Linked DNA regions of Saccharomyces cerevisiae S288C. Changing the gene in region 3 together with the main gene of any one other region gives a genetic interaction. Each region holds a gene or a part of one and is shown on either strand. Other genes may lie near its edges.

The links.
Region 1: mutations in PHO23 (region 3) and LTE1 together harm fitness more than expected from each alone (negative genetic interaction), as found in Saccharomyces cerevisiae (5 studies listed by BioGRID, with this or other methods).
Region 2: mutations in PHO23 (region 3) and RTT109 together harm fitness more than expected from each alone (negative genetic interaction), as found in Saccharomyces cerevisiae (5 studies listed by BioGRID).

The regions. Positions count from the first base shown.
Region 1 is NC_001133.9:101,065-108,486, forward strand, and holds LTE1 (mitotic regulator LTE1), read right to left. Parts: upstream 4,809-7,422; coding exon 501-4,808; downstream 1-500. Other genes in the region: ribosome biosynthesis protein MAK16, read right to left, coding at 1-81; dolichyl-phosphate-mannose-protein mannosyltransferase PMT2, read right to left, coding at 5,208-7,422. UniProt on the Saccharomyces cerevisiae protein: GDP-GTP exchange factor for TEM1, a Ras-like protein, component of the mitotic exit network (MEN).
Region 2 is NC_001144.5:143,455-148,101, forward strand, and holds RTT109 (H3 histone acetyltransferase RTT109), read left to right. Parts: upstream 1-2,836; coding exon 2,837-4,147; downstream 4,148-4,647. Other genes in the region: SFI1 (Sfi1p), read left to right, coding at 1-2,587; dynamin-related GTPase DNM1, read left to right, coding at 4,436-4,647. UniProt on the Saccharomyces cerevisiae protein: Histone chaperone-dependent acetylase that modifies 'Lys-9', 'Lys-14', 'Lys-23', 'Lys-27', and 'Lys-56' on histone H3 (H3K9Ac, H3K14Ac and H3K23Ac, H3K27Ac, and H3K56Ac) to promote nucleosome assembly, genomic stability, DNA repair and transcriptional regulation during mitotic S-phase.
Region 3 is NC_001146.8:440,699-445,259, forward strand, and holds PHO23 (Pho23p), read right to left. Parts: upstream 1,661-4,561; coding exon 668-1,660; downstream 1-667. Other genes in the region: PLS1 (Pls1p), read right to left, coding at 99-221; 40S ribosomal protein eS7 RPS7B, read right to left, coding at 2,700-3,128, 3,474-3,617; YNL095C (uncharacterized protein), read right to left, coding at 4,214-4,561. UniProt on the Saccharomyces cerevisiae protein: Component of the RPD3C(L) histone deacetylase complex (HDAC) responsible for the deacetylation of lysine residues on the N-terminal part of the core histones (H2A, H2B, H3 and H4).

The DNA of each region.
Region 1 (7,422 bases), on a different chromosome or scaffold from region 3:
AAAATTTTGACCATTAGGTGCCTTAATTCTATGAGAGCAGAAACTTTGATTAATCACTTGCCAAACAATTTCGTCGGACATATCCTCGTTGTATTCTAACCGTTGTAGTTATGTACTGAAGAGAACACTGTCAAAAGAAAGAACTAAGCAATGCAATATCTGCCTCTATACCAATCACTTTTTCATTTTTTTTCAAAAGCTCATCGGAAAATTTTTCAAAAAAAAAAAAAAAAAAAAAAAAGGTTTATTACCCTACTGCATTTTGATAATCTGAACATAATGAGCTAATGAAAGCAATTCTCATTTAAAAACAAGTATTCTCTCTTATTGAAGTATGCATTATCTATCATTATAAATTCTTTTATTCTGTTCGAGTCCATGTTTTTAAAAAAAAAAAAACATGTATGTATGCTCCATCTATATATGCTCCATCTGTATATTTTATATGCAAAGTTTTTTACAAGAGGAATTTGGGAACTGGAGGAAAGTGGCACAATACCTCATGTGGATAGTTCATTAATCTCTTCTTGTGTTAATGTGCTAATATAAACACACTTACTCAGCAATTCGTGGTTAACTTTGAAAGTGTAAAACTTGGACCATTGAACCCTTTGAATGAAATTCTTGACTATTTGAACGTTCGTATCGAATTTATTGTAATTCACTACTTTATCTTCTAAGATCCAGTCTTTCTTCTCTGCGTTTGCTGATAGGTCCGAAAGATATACGACGATGAAAGGGACGCAACCCACCAGTGGATTCACAGAGTTAAGTAGATTTCTTATTGTAGAATAATTCCTGTCTAGCGAGGGAATCTTCTTTAGCTCTTCCCAAGTCAGTAAGTCGCCTGGTTCAATCAGACGCCATGCATCAGTGAATTTTTGAACAACTGAAGAACTTAAGGCTAGAATGATTTCCATCAATGTGTTAAAGTTCTGAAATGTCCTGCAGTGGTCTGCAACGTGTATAAACCTTTGAATGACATTTCTTTTCATTTTGCTGCTCTTGGTAAGAAGTATTTCTGATATAATCCAATCCACAGTTAAGTTAAATCTGGATATAGCTAAATCAATGCCAGATAAGGTCTCGTTCCTTACTAGTAGTTGCAACCAACTTATAACTTGTGGGCCTTCATGCTTCATCTTTAAATCTAATAAATCTTTCCAGTCTATTTCTCCTAAAATTTCCTTCTCTATCAAGGTCATTTGTTGCGCTACAGACAGGGAATCGTACATTAGTATAAATGGAACGTGACTTTCATTATTAGAAATCATTAATCTCGAATCGTGAATCCTGTATTGACCGATTAATTCCTGGATTTGCGCCGCTTGCACAGCAACATCAACATTAGCTGACACGTCTATTTTTTCAGGAGAGGAGGAAGTAAAGCCTTCCTTCTCGGATTGATCTGGAGTAAAGGGGATATTCATTATAGTTTGTCTCCTTCTTTCTATTAATAACGATTTTCTTTTTTCTGCGGGGCTATTTTGGAATGACGGCAAGTTGTTAAGGTTTAGCATTTCCACTTCATCTGCTAACTTGCTCGTTTTAATTCCAATAGCGTCACTACTCTTGGTGTTCTCTGGTTTTTCGGGAATTTTCTCGTATGTACCTTCCAGTTTCATTAATGCCACGGTTATTGGATCGTCATTAATTGAATCATCGAGCATATTAGCAATTTCATTTAAATTTTTCTTATTCAAGGAGCCTGTAAAAGCCGACTCAGAGTTTGCTCTCCGTGTGTTCCGGGCACTAGATGTGTCATTAATGTCGATATCGTCCATTGTCAATACACTTCCTGATATGTTACTATTAGTTTCACTCTCGTTCTTCAGAAATTTACTTTTCAGCTCTTCAACGTTTTTCATTGGAGAAGCAACGTCAATGCTACCGTCATCTGGTGAAAAAAAATACTTGTTGTTTTTCGCATGGGTACTTGGACTTTCTAGGTCATTATTGGAATCGCTTAAATCAATTGTTTTTAACTCATGCAATGAAGAAGTATTTGAGATTATATCTTGATTACCCCTTTGATATTCTTCTCTCAAATTTATTATCCTTTGGTGTGGCACTGGTAAATCTCTGGACGTTTCGAAAGTTTCAACTGTGCTACCAGTGGTAATCGAATTCAAATCACTTACAACAGATTCTATTGTGGGTGCTATGGATAATCTGATTCTATTGGTTTCACTCACGCTGGTCCCGTTGGGAAATTCTCTCTGTGGATTTTGAGTTTGTTTTAGAGGACTATTCTGAGCAGATTCAAAAAGCTTGCTCGTTGAGATACTGATAACGGTGGACGATGTATCAGAGTACAACGCGCTTTTTTTATTATATTCCAGGTTGAGAGGTTCTATTTCACTTATTTCCTCTATAACTGAGTTTGACTTGTTTTGCTCAGGATCTACTATGGATAACTCTTTGGTTGGTGTTATGGCAATGCTTTGAACTCTTGAAATGCTGATCCTTCCACTAGCCGGTCTTACAACTGCTTGTTTGATCTTGTGATTGCAAGATGAATGTTTTTTTCTTGTAGTTATATCATAATTATTGGCTTCTGATGATGCATCGAGTGAGTTGTCCAGCTTTTTTGTGCTCTCATATTCTGATTCCTGATTTTCTTTGTTATCATAATTCTTTTCAAGGCCATCTATAGTACTCTTTTTCTCATCTAAAGACTTGGTATCTTCAAATGTAAACTCTCTTAGATTTAAAAATCCAGTTTTTGTTTTTAGAGTTGGACTATCTGTATTATTCACGATGTTTCTGACTTTTCTTGACTTTTTCGTTACAGTATCTCTGGGTGGAGAGCTGGATGACAACTCGGAATCGTATGAGTATGTTATTGATTCTGTGTCTTCCCTACTATCGTTTAAGGGAGACGATTCTTTAAGATCAGGTAGAACATTTTTCAGAGGCGAAGAAGTCATGCTTTTTTGGGATTGGGAATGATTTTTCCTCCTTGGTGTCATATTTGTAATCGCTTCTGAGTTGGTTTTATCAGTTTCATGGAATAACAATCTTTGAGGTCCATTCTCGTCTGTACGTGAAGAACTATTATCTTTATCAAAGAGCCTCATACTTTCTGCTGAGTAGCTACCGTGCATTTTATTGTAATATGCTGTCGTGAGACTTTTTACTTTCCTTCGTTGCAGTGCATCATACGAGGGTGATGGCTGCATATTCGATTCATTGTTCTGCAGTTGCTTGTTTAAAGTATTAGTTAAAGAGATGACTGACTGAGCAATTGAACTTACGGTTTGATACAGATCCAAATTGTCCATAGCGCTAAAATTATCATTACTCGGTTTAAAGCTATTTTGTTGTAAAATCTTTATATCATGTATGTGTTCCCGACGTTCACAATCAACATTAACTGTAGGACCTCGGTTGTTATTCGAATGTGTTTGAACTTTTTCTATCAGCTGGTTTTGTAAATGCAGTAGGGACTCCACTTCATCTATGGTTCTTGCACTTAGGATGTCAAATTTAGAAGAATCAGAGTTAAGAAACTCTTCCTCTTCTTCCTTGGAAGATTTTCTATTGAGAGATGATATTGATACAACGTATTTGACAAACGCATCCATTTCAGGTTTCTGGTTTGCTGGTTTAATAGCACTCATAAATTTTTTATCATTACTGCTATCATGGCGATTATGGTTTTTCATCCACTTAGCTAAAAGACCAATAGCGCTGCGATGTAACACAGACATTGAAGATGTATTAGATCTACTATTACTGTTGCTATTGTTATCTAGAGATGATGTCGTCGATGTACCTTGAAGCGTTCCGCTTTGTTCATTTAAATCTTCAGGAATATATAAGGAATTCAGAATAAATTCAACTTTTTTAGCCGGTGTTGGAGGCATTATTTTATCGACTGCATATGATGACGGGTAGTCTACGCCTTTCATTAGTGTGGATACTAGAGTGACTTTTGACAAGTGGCTGATCTTTTGTTTACTATCTGACATGTCCTCGCTTTCATTATCAACTGAAGGTTCTTTCGCTATTCGGTGCTTCGAGTAAACATTTGATGTATTATCGGGAAATAAAAGCATAGAAGGGCTTCTCTGGTTTTTGGAAGAATTTGAAGACTGTAGCTTCTCCGGCAGTCTAAATACATCAGAAGTTTTATATAATGATAAAACGCTTTGGTTACGAAAATCAGGACTGGCAAAACTTTGCCTGGCGTAAATGCTCAGTCGGCTTCCTCTTTTGTGTAGGCTTTCTAGTTGCGTGAAATCCTTTAACGAATAATGCAGCCATGCATCAAAGTCTAATTTATCAGGTTCATTTAGTTCAATATTCTCCCAAACCAACTTAGAACAATGCACCCAGTTTTTTTTCAGATTGATTATACAGCTGGAAATTATTTTTGGGTACTGTTCAATGTGTTTGTCGTTTAGAAACTCGATCAACCGAAGTCTTAATGTTATGTTCGGTAAAAAATCTTGCACAAAATAATTCAGTATGGAATGCCTCAACAACACAAACGTCCTCACGAGGGCAACTTCACCAATTCGCCTTCTCTTAGCTTTTGCAGCATTTGTTGTGATCTCCCTAATACACCATCGAAATCTATAGATGAGTAAGTCGTGTAAGTCTTGAGGCGTTATAAAATTCCTATAAATAAGGAAAAAATCTGCAGATGCGTTGTAGTCTACACCTTCCAAAGGGGAAGAAAGGTGTACAATTAACGCGGGCAGGTCTGCACTATTCACTGGTTTGGATACACAATCGCTTTCATAGCTAATAACATTTGAGGATGGAGTCGGGTAGTAATCTTTCTGGCTAAATATTTCCATGGTTCAGGGTAGCGAATCTTTGAATGGCTAGAGGCTATGTAAAGCAAACAAAAAGGTTCGCGTAAATCAACGAGCGAATAACACGAGTACGGTTGGGGTGGGCTAAAGGGTTCAAGAAATTATCAGTTTCTGTTTACAGTTTTTTTTTCATTGTTGATAAAAAGATCAAGAATTTCATTATTCGCGAAAATCAAAATGCAGAAAGGAAAAAATAGAAGGGTAATAAAACAGCATCGGATCGCAAAGATGAGTAAGGAGAACAGCCTGGTTAACAATTAAAGAGTGTTTATCGAAATTCATTATATAGTGGTTTATATAGACCACTTCTTCTGCTGGTTGATATAGAAATTTTATTTAATTCTTGTTTTTTACTTATGTACTTACTACGATGATCTTAATTCATGCTTCTTGCTTGTCGGCAATGTCCCAAGTGGAAAACCAGTTTAAGTAGCGGAAGTTACTACTTGGTCCCTCCATACCAAATGATATTGGGGAGAAGTACCAGAAGCAACCAATTACAAGTGCCATGAATCCGGCGTATAGGACGAACCGCATGATACGGCCGCACTTAGATCTGGACCATTTTTGCAAACCGGCGTCGAAACAGTACGCCAAAATGATCAGTGCAAAATACAAGGCAGGCAAGTAATGATGAACGTAGGTGACTCTAGACATGATAACGAATGGCATGTAGTGTAGGCCCCAAGCTAGTAGTGGGTAGAACCCGCCCATTAAGAAAACGTTCCAGTTAGATGGATTTCTTAGGTCCACATATTGTCTTTGCCATCTGATCAGTAAGATAACGACCGTGGCCATGAATGCGAGGACGGCAACACTAGAAGCCCACGTGGAAGCTGGGGTACCCAATAGGAAGTATTTTGGATTATCATCACCCCAGCCACATAGTCTCAAACCCACATTCAAAGTTGGCCATTGCCATGCTGAGGAAGCTAAGTAATCAAATTTGTCTGGATCTGGCACCAAAGCGTTATTAGTGGCCATCATGGCTAGATTTAAATGAATGAAGTCTTTTAAGAAGTTGGTCTTTGGGTATTGAAAATCTTCGGGTCTTGGTGGCAACCTTTCATTTTCGTGGGTCTCGATGTTCCACCAGGTCCTCTTGTCCCTCTTGAATGGGTTTTTCATGCAGACAACCTCTTGTTGTCTGAAACCCCATTCGGGCAAACTGTTACCGGTTTGAGCCAAGTAACAGCCCATCTCCAAGTTCTTGATACGGAAAGAGGTGGTCAATGTGTGCAACTTCTCAGGGTCTTCATCTCCTCTTTGGTCCATGATCTCAATAACCCAATTGTCTTTGTTGTCACCAACAACATTGTCACCGTAACCAGAAACCTCCCATTGTGTCTTTGACACTGGTGCAGCAACTGGGTGGGTGTGCAAGTTTCTGCCCGTGCTTTTGTGTACCAATCTATAGGAGGTACCTGGCTTCAAATACTCGATGTCAGTTTCGTTTTCTGACCATGATGGTAAGCCTCTTTCTCTGTTGAAAAACCATTCGTTGTTAGCATCTTTGTAACCATAACAGGTTACTTGTTGTTGGTTGGACCCATCTGGATAAGTTTGTATATGTGAGTGCAATAGAGATCCTCCAAGAGCTTGGTTTTTGATGGAAACAACGGAGGAACCTAGAGCAATGTCACGGGGGCCTTGTCCGACGTCAGAACCCACTAATCTTGCTTGGAAAAGAGATGGCATGTTAGCATCACCTGTACCAGAATGCGATAATAGGTCAAAATGTATTTTGAAGCACAATAGGAAAATGCAGAAGGGGACGATAATAAGACCAAATATTCTTGCCAACCAGTGGTTAATATAGGTTTTCCATGACATGGATTTATCTGCCAAAAAGGTCCATAAGTCAATCACAGTATAGATACCGACCATAGTGATGATAAATAGACCCACCATTTTGACGGAAATAGTGCAACCCAAAGAAATACCAGTGATCAACAGCCATTTCCACCACTTTCTAGAGAACGGCTTGGACCTCTGGTTGTGGAACATAACAAAACTAAAGAACGATGCGACAGTGAAGAAAAGTAGCATGGAGTCCAAAAGAATGAACCTGCCCAAAGTACTATACGAGTTTTCAAACAAAACCAACACGGTCATCAGCCAAACTGTTGGTAAAGAAAATCCAATAGCTTTGGCAGTGAAGTAGGCCAATGGCACACAGAGCGCGGAAAATGACGCGTTGAACAGTCTCATTTTAACATAATCCAAATAGTCTGGGTAAATTTCCCCAGAAGGGAAGTCCCAAGAACCGTTGTAGCCTGCCAAATAACCAGACAACCCGACCAGCATTTTTCCTAGGGGAGGATGGACATCGTGGTAAAATTCGTGTCTCAAGTAATAAGAACCAAATTTACCAAAGTGCGCCTCATCCCAAACAACATGGTTGTTGATGCCGATTTTGTACATCCTGGTAAACAACGCCAATGCAGTAAAGATCACCGGCATTACAACGGATTCCAGGCGTAACAGTGAGCTTTGTGCAGCGGGCTTTTCCTTCGAGAAATCTTCCGCGTCTCTCTCATCAGCGCTCGAAAGTTCCTCACTGACGCTGATGGAAGACGATTCTCTTTGTCTCAGT
Region 2 (4,647 bases), on a different chromosome or scaffold from region 3:
GACAAATCTGGAGTATGAAGACGTTACCGATCTTCCTAAGAATGGTTTACGATATGATTTGAATGATATATCCGTTGAGGTAATCGAAGATTTATACCGCCAGATTGAAGCTTTTTTGGTTCATTTCAAACTATCCAGAAGTTTTTTACAAATTTTCAAAAACTATGTCAATATTCTTATTCAAGAAGGCATCAATCCTTTACGCGATGAGTACTTCACAATATTGGAAGATGAACTGAAAGGTTTTTTCACTTTCAATTCTGTTATAGAAGAGATTTTAGAAATATTTTTAATCCACCCTCGCAACAAATTCATTGCATTGTCCCTTGCAGAATATACCTACGCTAAGAACAAAATCAGAAGACATTTTAATCACTGGAAGACTGTATGTGAATTGAATGAAGAGGCAAACAGGTTTGCAAATCAAGCAAAGCTGAGGGTACAGGAAGCCGTCTTCTATATTTGGAGTGATAAAACATTAAAATACTCACAGATGGCCAACGATGAAGCTGAAAGTTTTAGGAATACTTGGCTACTATTTCGCTCGTTCCAACAATGGATAACTTTAACACAAACTCTTAAGGAGCAGTCAAGGTTAGCAGATCAGGCCTTTTTGAATAAGATGTTTAGGAAAATTTTAAAGGCACAAGAGCATTGGAAACACTTAGAAACTGTTAACACTGACAACATTAAGAAGATATTTTTACGAACAACATTTCATATATGGAAGCTAAGACATAAAGAAATAAACTACCACGGGTTGGAAAGAAGGATTTTCGAAAGAATAAAACAGAAAGTTATAAACTATGAATACAATAAGAGCATTGCAGAAAAAGTGAGGTCGTTTTCTCTACAAAGAAAATATCTGAATAAATGGGAAAAGAAAAACATTGAAAACGAAGATAAACTTGGGGCACTTTATGAACTGGAGAATAAATTCATCAAACAAAAGTTTTTTCGCAAATTAAACCGGTCATTTCAACATAGTCAACAAGAGGCAATTGCAAAGAGTAAACTAAATCAGACACTTTTGAGGTGCGTTTTTGAGAAGATGTGGCTGAAAAGATTCGAAGACCATCTGCATTTGTATTCAATTGTAAGTCTAAAAGAGGCTAACCTCGTGAAGCGTATTTTTCATTCATGGAAAAAACTTCTATATATTGACCTCAAAGCAAGCGATTATTCGAGGACTAATTTGCTCAAGTCATCATTGCGAAGTTGGAAACTTGAAGTAAAGTTAAAAATATTTGAGCAGAAATGTAAAAAGAGTATTCAAGCAAGCGCGTATCGTACATGGAGGAAAAGAATACAGTATGGGAAAATATCGAGCGAACATGTTAAAACGGCATTTTGTGCAAAATATCTTGGTGTGTGGAAAAGGAGGATGCTACAAATGAATTCTATGAATGACGAAGCATCCAAATTTTACGAAGAGGGTCTCGTAAATGAGTGTCTAGCTATATGGAAAGAACGCCTGATTAAAACTAAGGAATTGGAGGATAGATACAATTTCTTATGTAAGACACATGCAATTTTGACTGTAAAACGGACGCTAATGCATATTGATAATGTTCATTTGCTATATACGAAACTGGCGCCCTCTATGGATAGAGTAAAGCTTTCTAAGGCCTTTTTAAAGTGGCGGAAAGCCACAAGGTTCAAAGTCAGGCATAAGTTAAACGATATTTTACACGTTTATGAAAAGAGTAAAGAGCGCGAACTTCAAAGCCAACTGTTCAACGCTTGGCGAAATAGATTTTGCTTCTACACAGAAGAATGTAACATTCAGGCTATTTCAAAGAGAAACTACCAGCTTGAAAAAATGGTGCTGAAGAAATTTAGAGAAAGACTTTTAGAGATAGTAAAATCAGAAGAATTAGCAGACGAAGTTCGCGAAGAATTTGTGTTAGTCAAGACGTTTTATATTTGGAAAACTCATCTAGACGAAATATTTTATATGAGTACATTATTGGAACAATCGGAAGCTAATAAACAATTCATAATTACATCCAAATTCTTGAAAATGTGGAGTCTTCGATTCCTAAAAATTAAGCGTAATGATGAGACAGTCGAGGTGTTTCGTCATCGGTGGGACAGGGCCACTGTAAGGGGATTGTTATTATTATGGAAAAATCGTTCAGACAGTTCTCCAAAGAGAAGGAAGGACTTCAATCTTAAACATGAACTAAAAACTCCCATAAGATCAGACTCTCAAAACGCCTCAACCATACCAGGCTCAGAAAGAATAAAGCAGCACAGAATGGAAGCGATGAAGTCGCATTATAGCAGGGCAAGAAGAGCCATACCAAGTCCGGTGAAATCTTCCAGTGTTCTTGATTCTACAGCTAAAAAACAGATCAACCTTGAAAGTACGACAGGCTTAAACGGATCTCCGACGCGAGGAAAACCTCTAAGGTATTCTCCTAGGCGTACCACTAGAAACATGCCATCCAAAGTTGACCATATTGATTTTGGCAGAATACCCGCTGTACCTTTTAGCCTAAGCGCCAATTCTCCTAAAATCGATCAAGATATGGATTATATAAGAGAGCATGATAAATCCCCGTTAAGTCGTAAACGTCAATAGATATATATATTATGTACGTATGTATGTGTGCATATGTAGTCGTAACCTTTCTTGCTTCTGAGATGCATACAATTACTAATAATATTCTCCAGGTCTATGAAAACATCACAACATACTATACTTTTCGTGTTCGCGTTGTAAGCTATAATGGAAAATGGACGCCATAACGCATTACTTAACAAACTACAGTTTGTCAATAGAGTTGTCCAGTAGAGTTAAAAGGTCAATTCAACCGGTCTTCAATAAGACATGTCACTGAATGACTTCCTAAGTTCCGTGCTACCTGTCAGTGAACAATTTGAATACTTATCGTTGCAATCTATTCCGTTAGAAACCCATGCTGTCGTAACCCCAAATAAGGACGACAAAAGGGTCCCAAAAAGCACGATCAAGACTCAACACTTCTTTAGTCTATTTCACCAAGGAAAAGTTTTTTTTTCATTAGAAGTGTATGTGTATGTCACGCTTTGGGATGAAGCAGATGCCGAACGGTTAATATTTGTATCAAAGGCAGACACTAATGGTTATTGTAATACGAGGGTAAGCGTTAGAGATATTACAAAAATAATATTAGAATTTATATTATCAATCGACCCGAATTACTATCTTCAAAAAGTAAAACCGGCAATAAGATCATATAAGAAGATATCCCCCGAGCTGATTAGCGCAGCCAGTACGCCAGCAAGAACTTTAAGGATTTTGGCTAGAAGGCTTAAACAGTCAGGCAGCACCGTTTTGAAAGAAATAGAATCTCCACGTTTTCAACAAGATCTTTATCTCTCATTCACCTGTCCTCGTGAGATTTTGACCAAAATTTGTTTATTTACTAGACCTGCATCCCAGTACCTCTTCCCAGATTCTTCAAAAAACAGCAAAAAGCATATACTAAATGGCGAGGAACTAATGAAATGGTGGGGCTTTATTTTGGATAGATTACTAATTGAATGCTTTCAAAATGATACACAAGCAAAATTAAGGATACCGGGCGAAGATCCTGCTCGAGTAAGATCATACCTAAGAGGGATGAAATATCCACTATGGCAAGTGGGTGATATATTTACCTCTAAAGAAAATTCTCTTGCGGTATATAATATTCCATTATTCCCAGACGATCCTAAGGCTAGATTTATACACCAATTGGCAGAGGAAGATCGCCTCCTCAAAGTAAGCTTATCATCCTTCTGGATTGAACTACAAGAGCGTCAAGAGTTCAAATTAAGTGTCACATCATCTGTAATGGGTATTTCGGGATACTCTCTTGCCACTCCATCTTTATTTCCATCTAGTGCCGATGTTATTGTACCGAAGTCAAGGAAGCAGTTTAGGGCAATCAAGAAGTACATTACTGGAGAGGAATACGATACAGAGGAAGGCGCAATAGAAGCTTTCACCAATATTCGTGATTTTCTATTGCTCAGAATGGCAACAAATCTTCAATCTTTAACAGGGAAGAGGGAGCATCGGGAGAGAAATCAGCCGGTTCCTGCAAGCAACATCAACACGTTGGCGATAACAATGCTAAAACCGCGTAAAAAAGCTAAAGCCTTGCCTAAAACTTGATACATATTGATATTTATTATTTAGTACACGTATGTAGCATCGATCTTAGAAAATGCATGTTTGTATTTATTGTTAGTACCTTGATCGCCACCTTTCTAGGTAATGATAGGTCCTCAACTTTTACTACGCGGTGCACGCCTGTAAGGTCGGGCAAAACAAAGTGTGGGAACAATAAATAAGAGGGTAGGATGAAATATTACCTTTACTCTACTGCTCAGGTTGGCCACAATTTGCTAAAGAGTTTATCATTAAGTAGCTACCAGCGAATCTAAATACGACGGATAAAGAATGGCTAGTTTAGAAGATCTTATTCCTACTGTCAACAAGCTGCAGGATGTTATGTACGACTCCGGGATCGATACACTCGATTTGCCCATTTTAGCTGTTGTTGGGTCACAATCCTCCGGGAAATCCTCGATATTGGAAACGTTAGTTGGAAGAGATTTTTTACCTAGGGGTACTGGTATTGTCACAAGAAGACCGTTAGTTCTTCAACTTAA
Region 3 (4,561 bases):
AAAGAGTGGATGAATAAAATGGAAAAAAAACAAAAGCCGGATTGCGTTACGCTTGAAATGAGCGATTCTAGGCGATAAGAGAAGACAACGGCTAAAACTTAAGATGTTGGGGTACTATAAATGTTTACCCAGATTTTCGGTAGAAATGTTTGCTGATGTGAACCTTGTTTCCCGTTTTCCCAGATCCCCTTATTCCAGCTTTGTTTCGTCTTTGCTGTCATGTTCCGTTTAATTTCTGAAGGCCTGCCTAGCTTCACCGTCCTAAATGTCACGCTCCAGGCAGAGACATGGCGCAGGGGCGAGGCCAGGGGCAAAGGGGTCAGGCAGGAACCTCCAAGGGGGGCGAGGTGAATGAAAAGGTCCTTCTGAATAAAAAGCCTAAGCGATTAGCCACACCACCCACTGTACGGCGATTAGACTGAGCTGCTGGCGCTGCTACGCCGTGACAAGTCATTTCATCATTTATTACGTTTTATCGTGCCGTCATCACCATCGATTTGAATATTTTATCTAGACCGGTAGGGCCCAAGTATCTTGCAGATCCATTGATACGGCCACGCCCGTTAAAACGCTAAGATATATATATATGTAGCTAAGATATATATATATGTATATATTCGGTATTTAGTAGATATTTCCTTAAGGCGATATTCGCCCGAGAGCTATTTCACAGTTTTTTTTTGCAGTCGTCGCAATACCACTTGCCCTTAGGTAGAGTTTCGAGTCCAATACATGGCAAATGGAACCATTCTAGCTCACAGTCTGCGCCATCACACCCCACCATTTCCCCGTATGCCACTTGGTTACAGTAGCAGTAGAGCGGTTCGCCGTAGTCGTTGGTTTTTGGTCTTGATATCCTGCTGTTGTTGCTGTTTCCGACGCTGCTAACTCCCCTGGACGCTGTAGATGTACCTATCCTGCCATTATTGACGGCAGTTGCCGTGCTGATAGTGCTTGGTGAAACGGCTGTGGTGGCAACTCTCCTCTTGCGTTTTTTGGTCTCTGGATCGGCGTTGTTGGTATTGGCAGCGTTGGCTCTTTTTCTTGAGTTTGTGTTGTTACCAGTGTGGTCTTGGCTCTCGTGCCTGCTGCCTCCGTAGTTTGCGTCGTTCTTTGAGTCGTCTTGTTGGTGTGTGCTGGCGGAGTAATGTTCGCCCTGCCTCCTGTTGGCAGCCATGGCTTCTCTTCTTGATTCGCTCTTCAGTGCCTGCGACGATTTGCTGTTTGATTTGCTCTCTATTTTTTCCATTAGTTCATGATGGAGGTGCATTGCTGGATGGTTGTCCACACCCAGTCTTAAACCTCTAGGAATTTCTGTGTTCTTGATTGCGACTTCATACGCCAATTCTAACCGGGACGTCAATCTGTCTAGATTATCCAGCATAATGGATGAGACATGCATTTTCTCCTCCAGCGATGGCATCAGTTCTTCATAAATCTTGTTGATATTATTGAGCAGTCTTACTTGTGTTTGGTGATCTTTATTGAAGTCTTTCTTCAAGAACTTATCTATCCTCTCGTTCAAATTCGGCATAGAATGCACACATTTTGCATCTATTTCGTGTAGTAATGTTAAATATCTGGAGGTGGCCAGTGGGAATTCCTCCAGCACGTCAGTTATGTCGTTTAATCCAGGGAATAGGTTCGCTGGTGAACTCATTTGTACGTATTTCAGACTATGAACGTGGTTGCTGTTTGTGATACTGCAAGACTACAAACTTTTCTCCTTCCGGGTTCGTCCTGTTGTAAACGCCTAACTCTTTTCCTTAGGCTCCTTTTTCGTTTTTTCCCTAGCTCTTTCTTTCTTCTTCATGTGCATGCACTCTTTCCTACATATTTTTTTTTCAAGGGCATTTTTAACTTTCTTCGGAAATCGTCTAAGAATTGTAAACTATAATTGCAAATACGCGATTAGCTCTATCTAGAATACCGAAAAAAAGGTTTGCCACTCACAATTGGACGTGCCTCAATTATTTCAAGTATACGTCATTTGGGCTTTTGACTTGTAAAATATACTCAAATGAAATTCTGATTATACAAAGTTGAAACACGTAACACGCCATGTCAAGGTACGCGTAGAGGTAAGCAGATAATGCATGGACAATGTGCTGGGCGAAGAGGCGGATCTAATTACACATACTTGGGATCATCTAAGATTTCAGATGGTTATGTTAATGCTCACTTGTTCCACGCCTTTTTCCTTTCCTTCAGATAAGTAATCCGCATATCAATGTGAAAGAACTAACGGTTGTTGATGGACGTATCGTTGTCTAGCGATAAATAATGCTTTTTCTTCAACAAATAAGTGGTTGTTTGGCCGAGCGGTCTAAGGCGCCTGATTCAAGAAATATCTTGACCGCAGTTAACTGTGGGAATACTCAGGTATCGTAAGATGCAAGAGTTCGAATCTCTTAGCAACCATTATTTTTTTTCCTTTTTATCTGATTGCAGCGAGAACTTGGGAAATCAACCCAATATGTATTCCAAAATGTCAAAACACCAATTAAAGCATCTCTATATTGACAGATACAAAATATATTTAAGTATACATTCATAATTATTTTACTCGAATTAAAAAAGCCCACTTTTTGGAAACCTCCTTTTGTATTCTCATAACTATGTTTCTTTTTTTATTATTTTTTCTTAATATTATTTTCTTTAAGTATGACAAATGATGAGAATGATAGTTATCTCACTATTTAGTTGGTCTGGCTTGGAATTTCAAAAACAATTTGTTTGCCAGTCAACTTGTTGTAGACAGCTTGGAAAGATTCCAACTTGTAGTCGATTTGTTGAACATCCTTGGAGTCTAACAAAACCTTTTGGATCTTGTTACCACCAACCAAATATCTAACTCTTTTACCGACAATTTCAGTTGGGAAAACCATGTCTTCCAAAACCTTGTCGTGAACAGCAGTCAAAGTTCTGGATCTTGGTCTCTTTTGGACTTGTCTAGATGTTCTAGATGGTTTTGGCAAGATTCTTCTTTCAGCCAAGAAAATAACATGACGGTCAGGGAATTTCTTTTCCAATTCACGGGTCAATTTGGTTTGGACCTTATGGTATGCAGACAAAGCTGGAACTGGGACAAAAAGGACTAGTGCTTTCTTACCACCGGTGACATCAATCTAAACAATAAGAATCAAGCAGCGTTGAAATAAAGTTAGTAACTGAATTGGTTCATTCATAACAAAAAAGGGTTTGTGATTCTTCTCCTTGGGGTAAGGTCTTTTTCGCGTGCTTCTATTTTATTCATCGATATTGGTACTGACCAAGGAGGCCTTTATAGTTCAAAGGCTCATCGCAACGTTCATGGTATTGACAGCTCTCGGAATTACTATTTTTCTCGAACACATGAAAATTTCATACAGATACTGCTCAAAATCACTCTTTTTTGAAAAAATTACTGCAAAGAACCCCTTTAGAAGAAATCACAATGTTGCTGCTTCCAAATTATATAACTTTTAACATACTTCTCTGATAGATTTGATTTGCAATGGTCTCAAGTCAGCCTTTAGTTCTGGAGAGGAGCTTTCTAGATCGATGAAGGTCTTGGCGACTTGTAATTCCAACTCACTTGGAGCTTGGGATAAGATCTTGGATTGGACAGAGGACATTGGTCAGTTATGTGTCTAGTCTTTAGTGTGTTGGTTTCTCTTCTGTTTGTATATACAAAGTCAAATAACACATATTTTAACCATAATCAATAGCATTTGGTATTTCCCCCTCCGCGTATTATGAACGCCTAGTGAGCCCATTCTTCCCTAAAGCCAGGCTGGAAACCCAAACTGTGTGGAACGTGACTGAATTGCATTTGGTGAGTTACCAAGCAAAGGCTCGCAGGCTTGAACCACATTTTACCAGGGCGCTCGCTTTTTCCGAAATATTGAAATTAAGCAAAACAATAATGTACGGATTTAAAGAGGTACGGATGGAGACCGTAGAAAATTGACTTTTTTTTTTTTTTTGTTATTTTCTGTGCCTTTCGTAACTACTACTATGCAGAATGACAGGTAGTTGTTGTTTCGAATTGCTACTTTCACGCATTCAACTTGATCAACATTTCTCTCTGATGAAAGGTTGTGGAAAGTTTGGTCGTGTCTATAAGTAGGTGTTTTTTATTAGTTCTATATAAAAATGGAGAATGTTAATTTTAACCCACCCTAAAACAGTGATTAGGAGTGGTAATAATTTTTTGTTTAATGGATTAAAACTAAAGGTTCATCTGTACTTTCAGAAAGTAAGACACTAAAAATGGCAAGCTAACAACCATTAGCGGGTATTGCAGCATTAAGAAAAATGAAACACACTCCATTTGGATTGGCGCAGTTGTTTCTGGCGGCGTAAAACTGGCGGTGAAATATATAAGGGTAGTCATCGTTGGCAAGTTCCAGCTGATTGCTATAACAAATAGTAGCATTCTATCATCTTGCCAATTAACCCATCCAGCTTTCACTAACCGATCACACCATAGGACACCAAAAATTGGCATGACACATTGTCTCAAAATGACGAGTGTCACAGCGGCTTTCCAAAATCCAGGATAAAGGTTGCCAATCTT